Oryctolagus cuniculus: one gene and its partners. The protein of the gene in region 1 interacts with the protein of each later gene in a pairwise test. Links are inferred from orthologs where the notes say so. Each region holds a gene or a part of one and is shown in the gene's direction. Other genes may lie near its edges. The genes, in order: GRN, KRTAP26-1 and DLK1.

Region 1 (3,719 bases):
GGAGGGGCAGGAGAGAATGCGGGGCTCCAGGCCCAGCTGCAGGCACTGCGGGGCGGGGCGGGGCGGGGCGGGCGGGGGCCGTACTGTTTGAATGCCGACCTGCTGTCTGTGGCTGCCCTGCCCTATGTCATCTTGCTGGGGCAGGGACTGGCTTCGGGGGCAGGGGTGTATGGGGGAGCCTGGGAGATCACTGGGCCTGCGTGTCCTCGTGAGGGGCGGGGGAAGGCCCTTCGCTGAGGGGCTTGCTTGTTACCTGTCCACAGCTAACAACTCCCTGGGAGCTGTCCAGTGCCCCGGGAGCCAGTTCCAATGCCCAGACTCCTCCACGTGCTGCGTCATGTTGGACGGCTCCTGGGGCTGCTGCCCTATGCCCGAGGTACAGGTCTGGGAGGGGGCTGGGAGGGGGCCGGGAGGGGGCTGGGTGGGAGCAGAGGCCCATCGGGACCGTCTCTTCTCAGGCATCTTGCTGTGAGGACAGGGTACACTGCTGCCCCCATGGCGCCGTCTGTGACCTGGCTCATACCCGCTGCATCATGGCCACAGGCACCCAGCCGCTGGCCAAGAAGACCCCTGCACGGAGGACCAACAGCCTAGGTGAGGAGCAGCGGGGCACCATGGGAGGCCCTGCTGGAGAAAGCGCCCGGTCTGGGCCCCCTCACACCTGGCTCCTCCTCCAGTGCCGTTAGTGGCTTCGCCCACCTCCGTCCTGTGCCCTGACGGACGCTCCCGGTGCCCTGACGACTCTACCTGCTGTGAGCTGCCCAGTGGGAAGTACGGCTGCTGTCCAATGCCCAATGTGAGTGAGGGGCCGCGTACTCACGGCCAGCTGGCTGCACGGGCTACTTGCCCGGGGTCTCCAGGGCTGGGGCTGGCCTCCGTGGTTGCAGGGAGCCCGAGGGACTCAGGACTCATGCTGCCCCCTAGTGGAGACTGGAGACAGTGCCAGCCCTCAGCCTGTCTGCTCCCTGTGCTCCGTACAAGCTGGCAGTCACCAAGATACACCCTCGTCCCCACCCAGGCCATCTGCTGCTCCGATCACCAGCACTGCTGTCCCCAGGACACCGTGTGCGACCTGGTCCAGAGTAAATGCCTCTCCAAGGAGAACGCTACAGAGCTGCTCACGAAGCTGCCGGCACGCACAGGTAACAGGCAGGCCCCAGACCTCAGTCCCCTGCCCCACAAACAGGGGCTCTCCCAAGCTGTTCCTGGGGTGGGGTGCTGTGGCCACGTGGAGGGGCCAGCCAGGTGCAGCCCCTTCCCTCCACACTGGGCCCTGCCCCAGGATCACTGTGGGGTGGCGCTGTCTGTGCAGCTGGCAAAGGCGGGCACCGCAGGGTCGCCAGGGCCACTGCTGACCTGTCCTGTGTGCCCGCAGTGCAGGATGTCAAGTGCGACCAGGAGGTGAGCTGCCCGGATGGCTACACCTGCTGCCGCCTAGCGTCAGGGGCCTGGGGCTGCTGCCCCTTCACGCAGGTACCGAGGAGCAGTGGGCGGGCTGGGCCGAGCCGGAGGGTGGCATTCAGCTAGGCCCCTGTCACTGCTGGCCCTTGTCCGTCCACTCCAGGCTGTGTGCTGTGAGGACCACATACACTGCTGTCCAGAGGGCTTTAAGTGTCACACGGAGAAAGGCACCTGTGAGCTGGGGCCCCGCCAGGTGCCGTGGATGGAGAAGGTCCCAGCCCCCGTGAGCGTGCCAGAGCCCCCAGCCTGGAGGAGCGGGGTCCCCTGTGATCACCTCGCCAGCTGCCCCGTCTTCAGCACCTGCTGCCAGCTCGCGTCGGGGCAGTGGGGCTGCTGTCCTGTCCCAGCGGTACAGTGTGGCCTGGGGGCGGGGACGGTGTCTTGGCCTGGGCCAGTGGGTGGCCAGGCTCAGTGGGGCTGCTGTCCTGTCCCAGCGGTACAGTGTGGCTGTGGGGGCGGGGATGGTGTCTTGGCCTGGGCCAGTGGGTGGCCAGGCTCGTGTTGCCTCTTCCTGCCCTCTGCCTAGGCCACGGCAGCACCCAGCTGAGCTCTCCCCAGCCGGAGGGGCTGTGAGCAGGAGAGGTGGCTGGGGCCACCATGTCCCCCGTGGTAGCTCCCTGGACCACCCTTTCCTGCCCGCCCCCCAGGCCGTCTGCTGTCAGGACCACCAGCACTGCTGCCCGCAGGGCCACACGTGCACGGCCGAGGGGCGGTGTCGGCGGCAGAACGAGACGGTGGCCGGGCTGCAGAAGACGCCTGCCCGCCAGGCGTCCCTGTCCCACCCCCGGGACATCGGCTGTGACCAGCACACCAGCTGCCCGGTGGGGCAGACCTGCTGCCCGAGCCTCGGCGGGGGCTGGGCCTGCTGCCAGCTGCCCCATGTGAGTGCCCGCCTGCCCACCCCAGGCTGGGGAGGCTGCGGCCCGCGTGGGGACAGGGACGTCATGCCGTTCTGTCGCCGCAGGCCGTGTGCTGTGAGGACCGCCAGCACTGCTGCCCGGCCGGCTACACGTGCAACGTGAAGGCCCGGTCCTGCGAGAAGGAGGTGGAGGCCGCCCATGCCGCGGCGGCACTCCTGCTGCCCGGCCCGCGCGAGGGTGTGCGGGACGTGGCGTGTGGGCAAGGACGCTTCTGCCACGATAACCAGACGTGCTGCCGGGACCGCCAAGGCGGCTGGGCCTGCTGTCCCTACCCCCAGGTCAGCGCCACCCCCACCCCTGGGGCTGGGTTTGGGTGCCCACCAGGGCCCGCCCCGTCTAACCCTGTCGCCCTCTCTCTGACCGCCCAGGGCTCCTGCTGTGCAGACCGGCAGCACTGCTGTCCCGCCGGCTTCCACTGTAAGGCCAAGGGCACCAAGTGTGTGCGCTGGGGGAACCTGCGCTGGGACGCCCCACCGAGAGAGCTGGCGCCCCAGCAGCTGTTGTGAGGGACTGAGGACCGGAAACACTTGGCAGCCCTCGGGGTCCTGCCCGGAGGGTGCCCACTGCTCAGGCCTCCCCAGCGCCTCTTCCTCCACCCAGCTCTCCCCACCCGGGATCCTGTCAGAAGGGGGGCTGGGGCAGAAGCCACCAAACAAGCTGCCATCCCCTCCCCCGATTTCTGTGGACCCTGTGGTCAGGTGCTGTCCCTTTTCCACAGGGGTGTGTGTGTGTGTGTGTGTGTACATGTGTGTGCGCTCCAATAAAGTTTGTACACTTTCTTCACCGCGTCTGATTTGGCCACCCTGCCTCCCACCCCCGCCCCCGCCCCCACAGAAACACACACACGTGTTTCCCTCACCACTTGTGTATTTGCTGTTGCTTGCCACGGCCCCATCCCCATTCGCCCCCAGCCCCCCAGAACTGCCCCGGCACCAGCCCCGGGACGGCATGGCCCAGAGGTGGCAAGCAGCACCCTCCCCTCCCAGGGGTCCGCAGAGAACGCCCCCTCCCTTCCTAGCCCTCACACGAGCAGCTGAGGCCAGGTCGCCCCGCCTGCTGTCCCCCAACAGAGCTCTCTATGTACAGCCCCCAACCCCCCCAGCCCTCCTCCCCTGCACCTCCCAGCGCGGGGCTGGAGGCCGACCCAGGCTCCCTCTCCCAAGACACATACCACGGGACAGCTCCGCCGGCCCCCGGCCCGGGGAGGGGGCTGCGAGCGCGGGCCCCCACGGGCCCCCGGGGCGCGCAGCCCGGGCGCGGGCGCTACTTGACGTTGAACACCATGAGCGGCCGCTCCTCCCGCCGCTGCCACGGGCTCTTCTTGTCGCCCGCCTCGTC
Region 2 (2,420 bases), on another chromosome or scaffold:
GTACTCAAACTTAAGAAAATGACACTTATTCTTATGCAATCACTTATATAAAGCATTTTAGAAACTCTCTTTTGGAAACTGACATCAGAACCAATGCAGGAGGCAAAACAAATCCACATGTGAGTCTGTGTATCTTACTTATTTTACCAAGAATGATAGCTTTCAGTTGTAGTATGAGTAATCACGAAACACATAAGTCTGGAATAATCATGTAAAATATCATGTTTTCCAGCTTTCTTTAAGGAGTTTTATGTGGATTTTTTGTTCATACTAGGATCCATAATTTTAATCGAGCCCAACCTCATTATCTATATTTAAGATCTTAAAACACAAACCAGACTTTCTGTTTGAGTTATTTATTAAAGTTAATAAAAAGAGCATTTATTTTTTGAACAAAGATACTTTGCTATGAAGTTAATCTGTACTGGGATTCTGAAATAAAGTGAGCACATTGAAATTTTGTATAGTTGTAGTAGTTTCAGCTTTTCCTGCCATTTAGATTATAGGAGTTTTCACCTCCCTTATAACACTCTTGGTTCCAAGTGACTTCATGTGAGTAATTTCCAAAGAGAACTGGATTTTCTTTCAGATAAAGAAAATTTGCCCCTGTTTAAAAAAATGATACAATTTTTAAAAACAATTCCAAGAGGGGGATTTTAAGAATTTGCCATGGTTATTGTAACTGGAATAAGTTCATAGCCTTCAAAAGTGTCTGTTTTGGTTGGATAATTTAAGAAGAAATCTTATTAAAATCTAGTCACGCAGGCTTCTCAATATATTTAATAAATGGAACGCATTGTAAGGAACATCCAATTTTATCGGAAGTAAGAGCGCTTCTTCCTGCACTCTAATGAAGAGTTCTGATGCAGTCTCATCCAACCAGGAGGAAGAGTCTGTTTACAAAACCCTCACCCTCTAGGGTATATAAAGGGCCAAGGCAAGTGGGGATCAGAATGAAACTTGCATTCAATTCTTTCCCTCAAACACAGCCTGCTCTCAAAACCCTCGCTATGTCTTGCCAGAACTACTCTCGCAACTGCAGCTCAGGCTCCCCCGGAAATTCCTGCCACATCCCTGCCTCCTCCTCCGTTGCCGGCTGCTCTACAAATGTGAGCTGTGGAGATGTCTTCTGCTTACCCAGCAGCTGTCAAGATCGTGCCTGGCTCACGGACAAAAGCCAAGAGACCTACATTGAACCAACCAGCTGCCAGCCAACCAACTGTGTGCCCAGCAACTGCGCAACCTCCTGGAGATCTTCCACTATTTACTATGTGCCCAGACCCAGCCTAGGAACCAGTTTTATTCCTGCTTCTTCCTGTGTCTCCAGCTCCTGCCTCCCAGTATCCTGTAAACCTCCGAGCTATGTGTCCAGCAGTTGCCGTCCGCAGAACACCCTGATCAATACTTGCCAACCTATAGGTAGCGTGCTCAGTGCCTACCGCCCTTTGACCTCTCTGTCCAGCAGCTGCCGACCCCAGAGCCTCCTCACTTATGGATGCCAACCCGTAGGTTACTTGGCCTGTGGTCCTCAAGCAGTTCATATCGTCTCCAGCAGCCCAAGACCTCTGCCGCCTCCATCCAGCGGCTGCCAACCTGTGACCCACGTGTATGGCACATGTCATCCATCTTGCTCTGTCCAGGGAGGCCAGTAGTGTGCTTGTTCCAGCAAATCATCATGCTGAAGACTCAGGATATAAATTCAAACTCCATGGACTTCTGGTTCTTTCTTAGTGGTGTCTGATTGCTGGTTGGGTGTTTCTACTATAGCTGATCTAATGTGATTTACTACTTTCACATTTTCATCTTTCCTTGATGTTAAAAAAATTGGTTTACAATGTGTCTCAATGTTGCCTGAGTGTGGGAAGCATGTATTTGTTCGCACTATAATAAACAAGATCATGTCAAAGCTAAGAATCTGGTTCATTGGTTTTCTTTCATTCCTTCATTCTGACACAGAAATGGTGAACCCAGACTCCTTATAAGATTTGTGAATAAGACAAAGTGCTGTGTAACAATGTGCTCTTACTGATAGTAGAGAGATGATTTGATGGTGTGATTTCTCAAGCTGTTTTTTAGACTTCTGATGCTATGTCCTTGAGAGATCCAGGAATCCTTGGTGGAATGTGTTTTGCAAAGGCAAGATGAGGAATTATATCTTTTAGCTCTCTCTTCCACTGAATATCCTTCCACTGGAATGTTTTTTCTCATTACAAACCTAACCATAAGCTTTTACTTAATCCTTAGATGACATTGTATGATCGATTCCCATAAGGTAAAAGCCCAAATCCCTTACCATGATACTGGATTCCTTCATTGTCTTCCTCCTATTATTTGATTGAATCCCCTTTTGCTGTGTATCAAAAATCCAATTCTGAATTACACATAGATCCCCAACATGATTTTGAAAATCATCCTTTTTG
Region 3 (3,747 bases), on another chromosome or scaffold:
GGACAGCAGAGTGTCCCCAGACCTGCCAGGGCCAGTGGGGTGCCTCTGAGGATGAAGTGCACTCCCTGCCGCCACCGCTCCAGGTTCCAAATAGCAAAGATGTGCCCCCCCCCCGCCCTGAACCGTGGGGAAGAGGAGGCGAGAACTGGGCGGGCACATTCTCTGCACCTGGGACCTGTGTTCAGACTAAGCTCTGCAAGTCAAGCACCCTTGGACCCATCCCCAAGTCCCGACCTGCCCGGAGGTTAAACACCCGCAGCCCCCTCCCAGCCCCTCTCCCTCCCTAGCTTCCGGGGCCTCCCCGATCCAGACTGGGGTGGGGGAGGCTCCAGCGGGGCTCTGAGCAGAGGCTGGGGGCTGCAGCAGGGTGCTGGGGGCCCGGTGGAGTCCAGGGCGCACTCCCTCTCCCCAGGGTCTCTGACAGGGGAGGCTCCCCGGTAACCAGGGCGTTGAAGCCTCCCAGGAGATCTGGCACATGCGCTGAGGACCGGGTGTGCAACCGTCTATGAGCTTGTGTGTGAAGTTGCTGCACGTGTCACCGTGAACAAAGACTGCTGTGAGCCCGGAGTGTGTGTGTGTGTGTGTGTGCGCGCGCGCACTTGTGTGAGACCAAGAGCCTGCGCCGTGCGGGCGAGCGGTGGACTGGGGGTGCGTGTGGGTGAGGATCAGGCGCGCCGCACACATGTGTGCCTGTGACTCAGGCCCCCGCGAGGCGGGCGTGTGTGGGTGGAGGTGACTGCATGTGTGCGCGGGTCTGTGGGATGACAGTGTGCTTGTAGGTGTGCGTATGACTGTGTGCGTGCCGCTGCGGGAGGCGGCCCAGGGTTCCGTAACTGCAAGCCGGTCGGTGTGCGTGCGTGTGTGCGTGTGCGTGTGTGTGTGTGCGTGCTGCAGTGTGTTTGGGTTGTAGTGTGCGTTTGTGTTACACATGTGTGTGCTACAGCAGGTGTGTCTGCATTTTCCGGCCTCCTCATGGCTCTGGCTGGCAGGGACCTGCGGCTTTTCCTAACCGTTTTTCTGAGCGCGTGTGTGATTATGTGTACATTGCACATCTTGGTGGTGCGCCTTTGCGTCTTCCTGGGTATGTGACCCGTGGCCCCTGTACTACACGGGGCCTAGGCGATGGGCATCTGGGCGCTTCTGCACTCCGAGGGCTTGCTCGTGTGCCCCTGGGGGTCTGCGGCCCGGCCCAGGGACTGTGCTGGCGACAGGTCCTAAACTGGCCAGTGCGTGTGTGCGGCACATGTGCGAAACGTGCGCGGGGTACCTGCGCCTGTCTAGCCAAGTGTGCGCCCGTGTGCGCGGTCGGTTTCCGGGACGCAGCAGTGGTGGGGGGCGGCCCCGCGAGGGGCGGGGGTCACCGGGACTGGCCGGCGCCGGCCCCGTGCACGCGAAGGCGGGGGCGGGGGGCGGGGGCCGGCGGGGGGGGGGGCGGTACGAAAAGGGCGACGCGCGCGGCGGCGGCGGCAGCTCCTCGGCGGCAGCGGCGGAGAGCGCAGCGCGCAGCCCGGTGCAGCCCTGGCTTTCCCCTCGCCTCGCGCCCGCGCCCCCTTCCGCGTCCGCAACCAGAAGCCCAGCGCGGCGCCCGGAGCCGGACCTGCGCCCGCACCTCTCCCGGGACCGCGACCCCGGCCGCCCCGCGATGACCGCGACCGAAGCCCTCCTGCGCGTCCTCTTGCTCCTGCTGGCTTTCGGCCACAGCACCTATGGTGAGCCCCTCGGCGGCCGGGCCTGCGCCCCCTCTGGGGAAGCCTGCGACGCCCCGCCGGCCACCCCGTGCCCCGCGCGCCACGCGCCACGCGCCCCAACTCCGGCCGCTCTCGCCTAACCCTAAGCCCCGCGCTGTGCCTGCCTCACCCTCCCTTCCGCCCTTGCGTGCCAGGTCCGCCCGTGGGTCCCCGGGGGGTGGGCAGCGAGCTTGGGACCCCCGCAGCCCCTTCCCTTCCCGCCTGGCAGAAGTGGCGCTTGAAGGGGTGTCGGTGCGCTGAGAGGAGGCATGGAAAAAACGCGGCGATGTGCGGTGATGTGCGGGAGTCTTCCGTGAGGACGCGCTGGGGGGCAACTTGGGGGTGTCCCTGCGTGTGCATCCCGGGGAACAGGTCTCTGGGGCAGCGGGGGTTGACTTTGCTGTCCTAGCCCCCCAAAGCCCAACAAGAGAGCAGCTCGAGCCTCCTGTGAGGCGCGTCTCTCTAGGTGAGGGGCTGCGACACTTCTGTCTGCAGTGGCCATCTGTCTCTGACAGCGAAGAGTGGCCCCCTTCCCGCAGCGCCCCCGCCCCCGCTGCGCGGGGGCCGTGGTGGGCCGTGGGGCCATGTGGAGAGCTGGTTGAGTGATGCATGCAGTAGGTGCCTATGCAGGCGTCAGAATCCCTTAGTGTTGGAATCTCAGCCGCCCTGGGTGTAACTGTTGAGTTGTTTTCTTAACACAAGGAGTCGTGGGGGGACTTCTGACCTGGGTGCTTGGCTTAACTGCGTAACCTTGTAAAACACGAAGCTCACACCCCTCACCTGTGGACTGCCCGGTGAACCTGCTAGGGCTTTCCCCGGTTCAGCACCTCCGGTCTGCCTCCCCGTTAGCATCAGCTCACTTTGCAAAGCGTGAGGGTTTGACTGAACATCCAGGGTCAAAATCTTCCCCTTGGTGGTCTCTGCCCCCCTATCCGCAGCGTATTGGGGTTCCTTGTTGTCTCTGGGGGAACAGGGGCCCTGTCCTGCACCCAAGGTCCCAGGAGCACACACAGCTTTGAAACAGCGTGTCAGGCTGGTGGGACCCATGGGGGGCTGCGAGCCAGCGGGGGTGGGGCTGGGGTGTGGGGAGTGGGCTTTTCCTGGGCCTCTGGGGCGAGATTGTGGGGTCAGTTGTGTGATGTTCCCTGTGCCTCAGGGGCTGAATGCTTCCCGGCCTGCGACCCCCAAAATGGATTCTGCGAGGATGACAATGTGTGCAGGTACAGAGCCGCTCCTGAGGCAGCTGGGGGCGGTGGGGGGAGCCACGGAATGGGGGTGGGGGAGGCACAGTCCTGGGAGTCAGGCTGGGGGGGGGGTGCTGCGGCAAACAGCTTCCCTGGCTCTGCAGAGCCCCAGTGGGGGAGACGGTGGGGGAGACGCAGGCAGGGGATGGGGGCAGCCACAGCTCCTGTCTCCCTTCTCAGAAAGGGGGGGTGTCAGGGGAGCGCCTTGCCAGCAAGACCACTGCGGGCCACTGCGACAAAACGCAGTGTCCCCCCCCCCGCCCCCGCTGTCCTGCTTCCTAGGACCCCCTGCGTCTGCCCCCAAGCTTGTTTTTTTTTTTCTTTTCTTTTTTTCTTCAGTTTTGACGTCCAGGTGACTGCTGATTGCGTCCCCTGACCCCTGGCCTGGGCCCTGTGCAGACTCCCAAGGGCTCTCGGTCCACTGAAGGCAGCCAGCTCCCTCCCCACCCAGACCCCCCTCACGGGTCTCCATCTTTCTTGCTCCGCACAGGTGCCAGCCTGGCTGGCAAGGCCCCCTGTGTGACCAGTGCGAGACCTCTCCTGGCTGCGTTAATGGACTCTGTGAAGATCCCTGGCAATGCATTTGCAAGGAGGGCTGGGACGGGAAACTCTGCGATATAGGTTGGCACTCCCCTCTGCCTGCGCCCAGCCCCCTCCCCGCGCCCCGCCTGCCAGCCCCCTAGCGCCTTGTACTGTGTGTCCTGTTCCTGCTCTGCTGGGGAGGGTCTTGGGTCTGCTCACCGCTCCCCACCCGCACGGCCAGCACCTAGACCCCA

Evidence for each region.
Region 2: the proteins of GRN (region 1) and KRTAP26-1 interact in binary tests that used the Homo sapiens proteins (3 or more experiments, as listed by UniProt). The two-hybrid records come from large-scale screens. The link is inferred for Oryctolagus cuniculus from reciprocal best matches to the Homo sapiens genes GRN and KRTAP26-1.
Region 3: the proteins of GRN (region 1) and DLK1 interact in binary tests that used the Homo sapiens proteins (3 or more experiments, as listed by UniProt). The link is inferred for Oryctolagus cuniculus from reciprocal best matches to the Homo sapiens genes GRN and DLK1.

The regions. Positions count from the first base shown.
Region 1 is NC_091448.1:18,939,169-18,942,887, reverse strand, and holds the end of GRN (progranulin), read left to right. Parts: intron 1-263; coding exon 264-376; intron 377-458; coding exon 459-594; intron 595-677; coding exon 678-796; intron 797-1,018; coding exon 1,019-1,142; intron 1,143-1,375; coding exon 1,376-1,473; intron 1,474-1,564; coding exon 1,565-1,810; intron 1,811-2,108; coding exon 2,109-2,342; intron 2,343-2,425; coding exon 2,426-2,659; intron 2,660-2,749; coding exon 2,750-2,887; 3' UTR 2,888-3,160; downstream 3,161-3,719. Other genes in the region: protein FAM171A2, read right to left, coding at 3,645-3,719. UniProt on the Homo sapiens protein: Secreted protein that acts as a key regulator of lysosomal function and as a growth factor involved in inflammation, wound healing and cell proliferation. Regulates protein trafficking to lysosomes, and also the activity of lysosomal enzymes.
Region 2 is NC_091435.1:15,091,681-15,094,100, forward strand, and holds KRTAP26-1 (keratin-associated protein 26-1), read left to right. Parts: upstream 1-955; 5' UTR 956-1,010; coding exon 1,011-1,652; 3' UTR 1,653-1,914; downstream 1,915-2,420. UniProt on the Homo sapiens protein: In the hair cortex, hair keratin intermediate filaments are embedded in an interfilamentous matrix, consisting of hair keratin-associated proteins (KRTAP), which are essential for the formation of a rigid and resistant hair shaft through their extensive disulfide bond cross-linking with abundant cysteine residues of hair keratins.
Region 3 is NC_091451.1:44,306,779-44,310,525, forward strand, and holds the start of DLK1 (protein delta homolog 1), read left to right. Parts: upstream 1-1,455; 5' UTR 1,456-1,642; coding exon 1,643-1,709; intron 1,710-2,883; coding exon 2,884-2,947; intron 2,948-3,461; coding exon 3,462-3,592; intron 3,593-3,747. UniProt on the Homo sapiens protein: May have a role in neuroendocrine differentiation.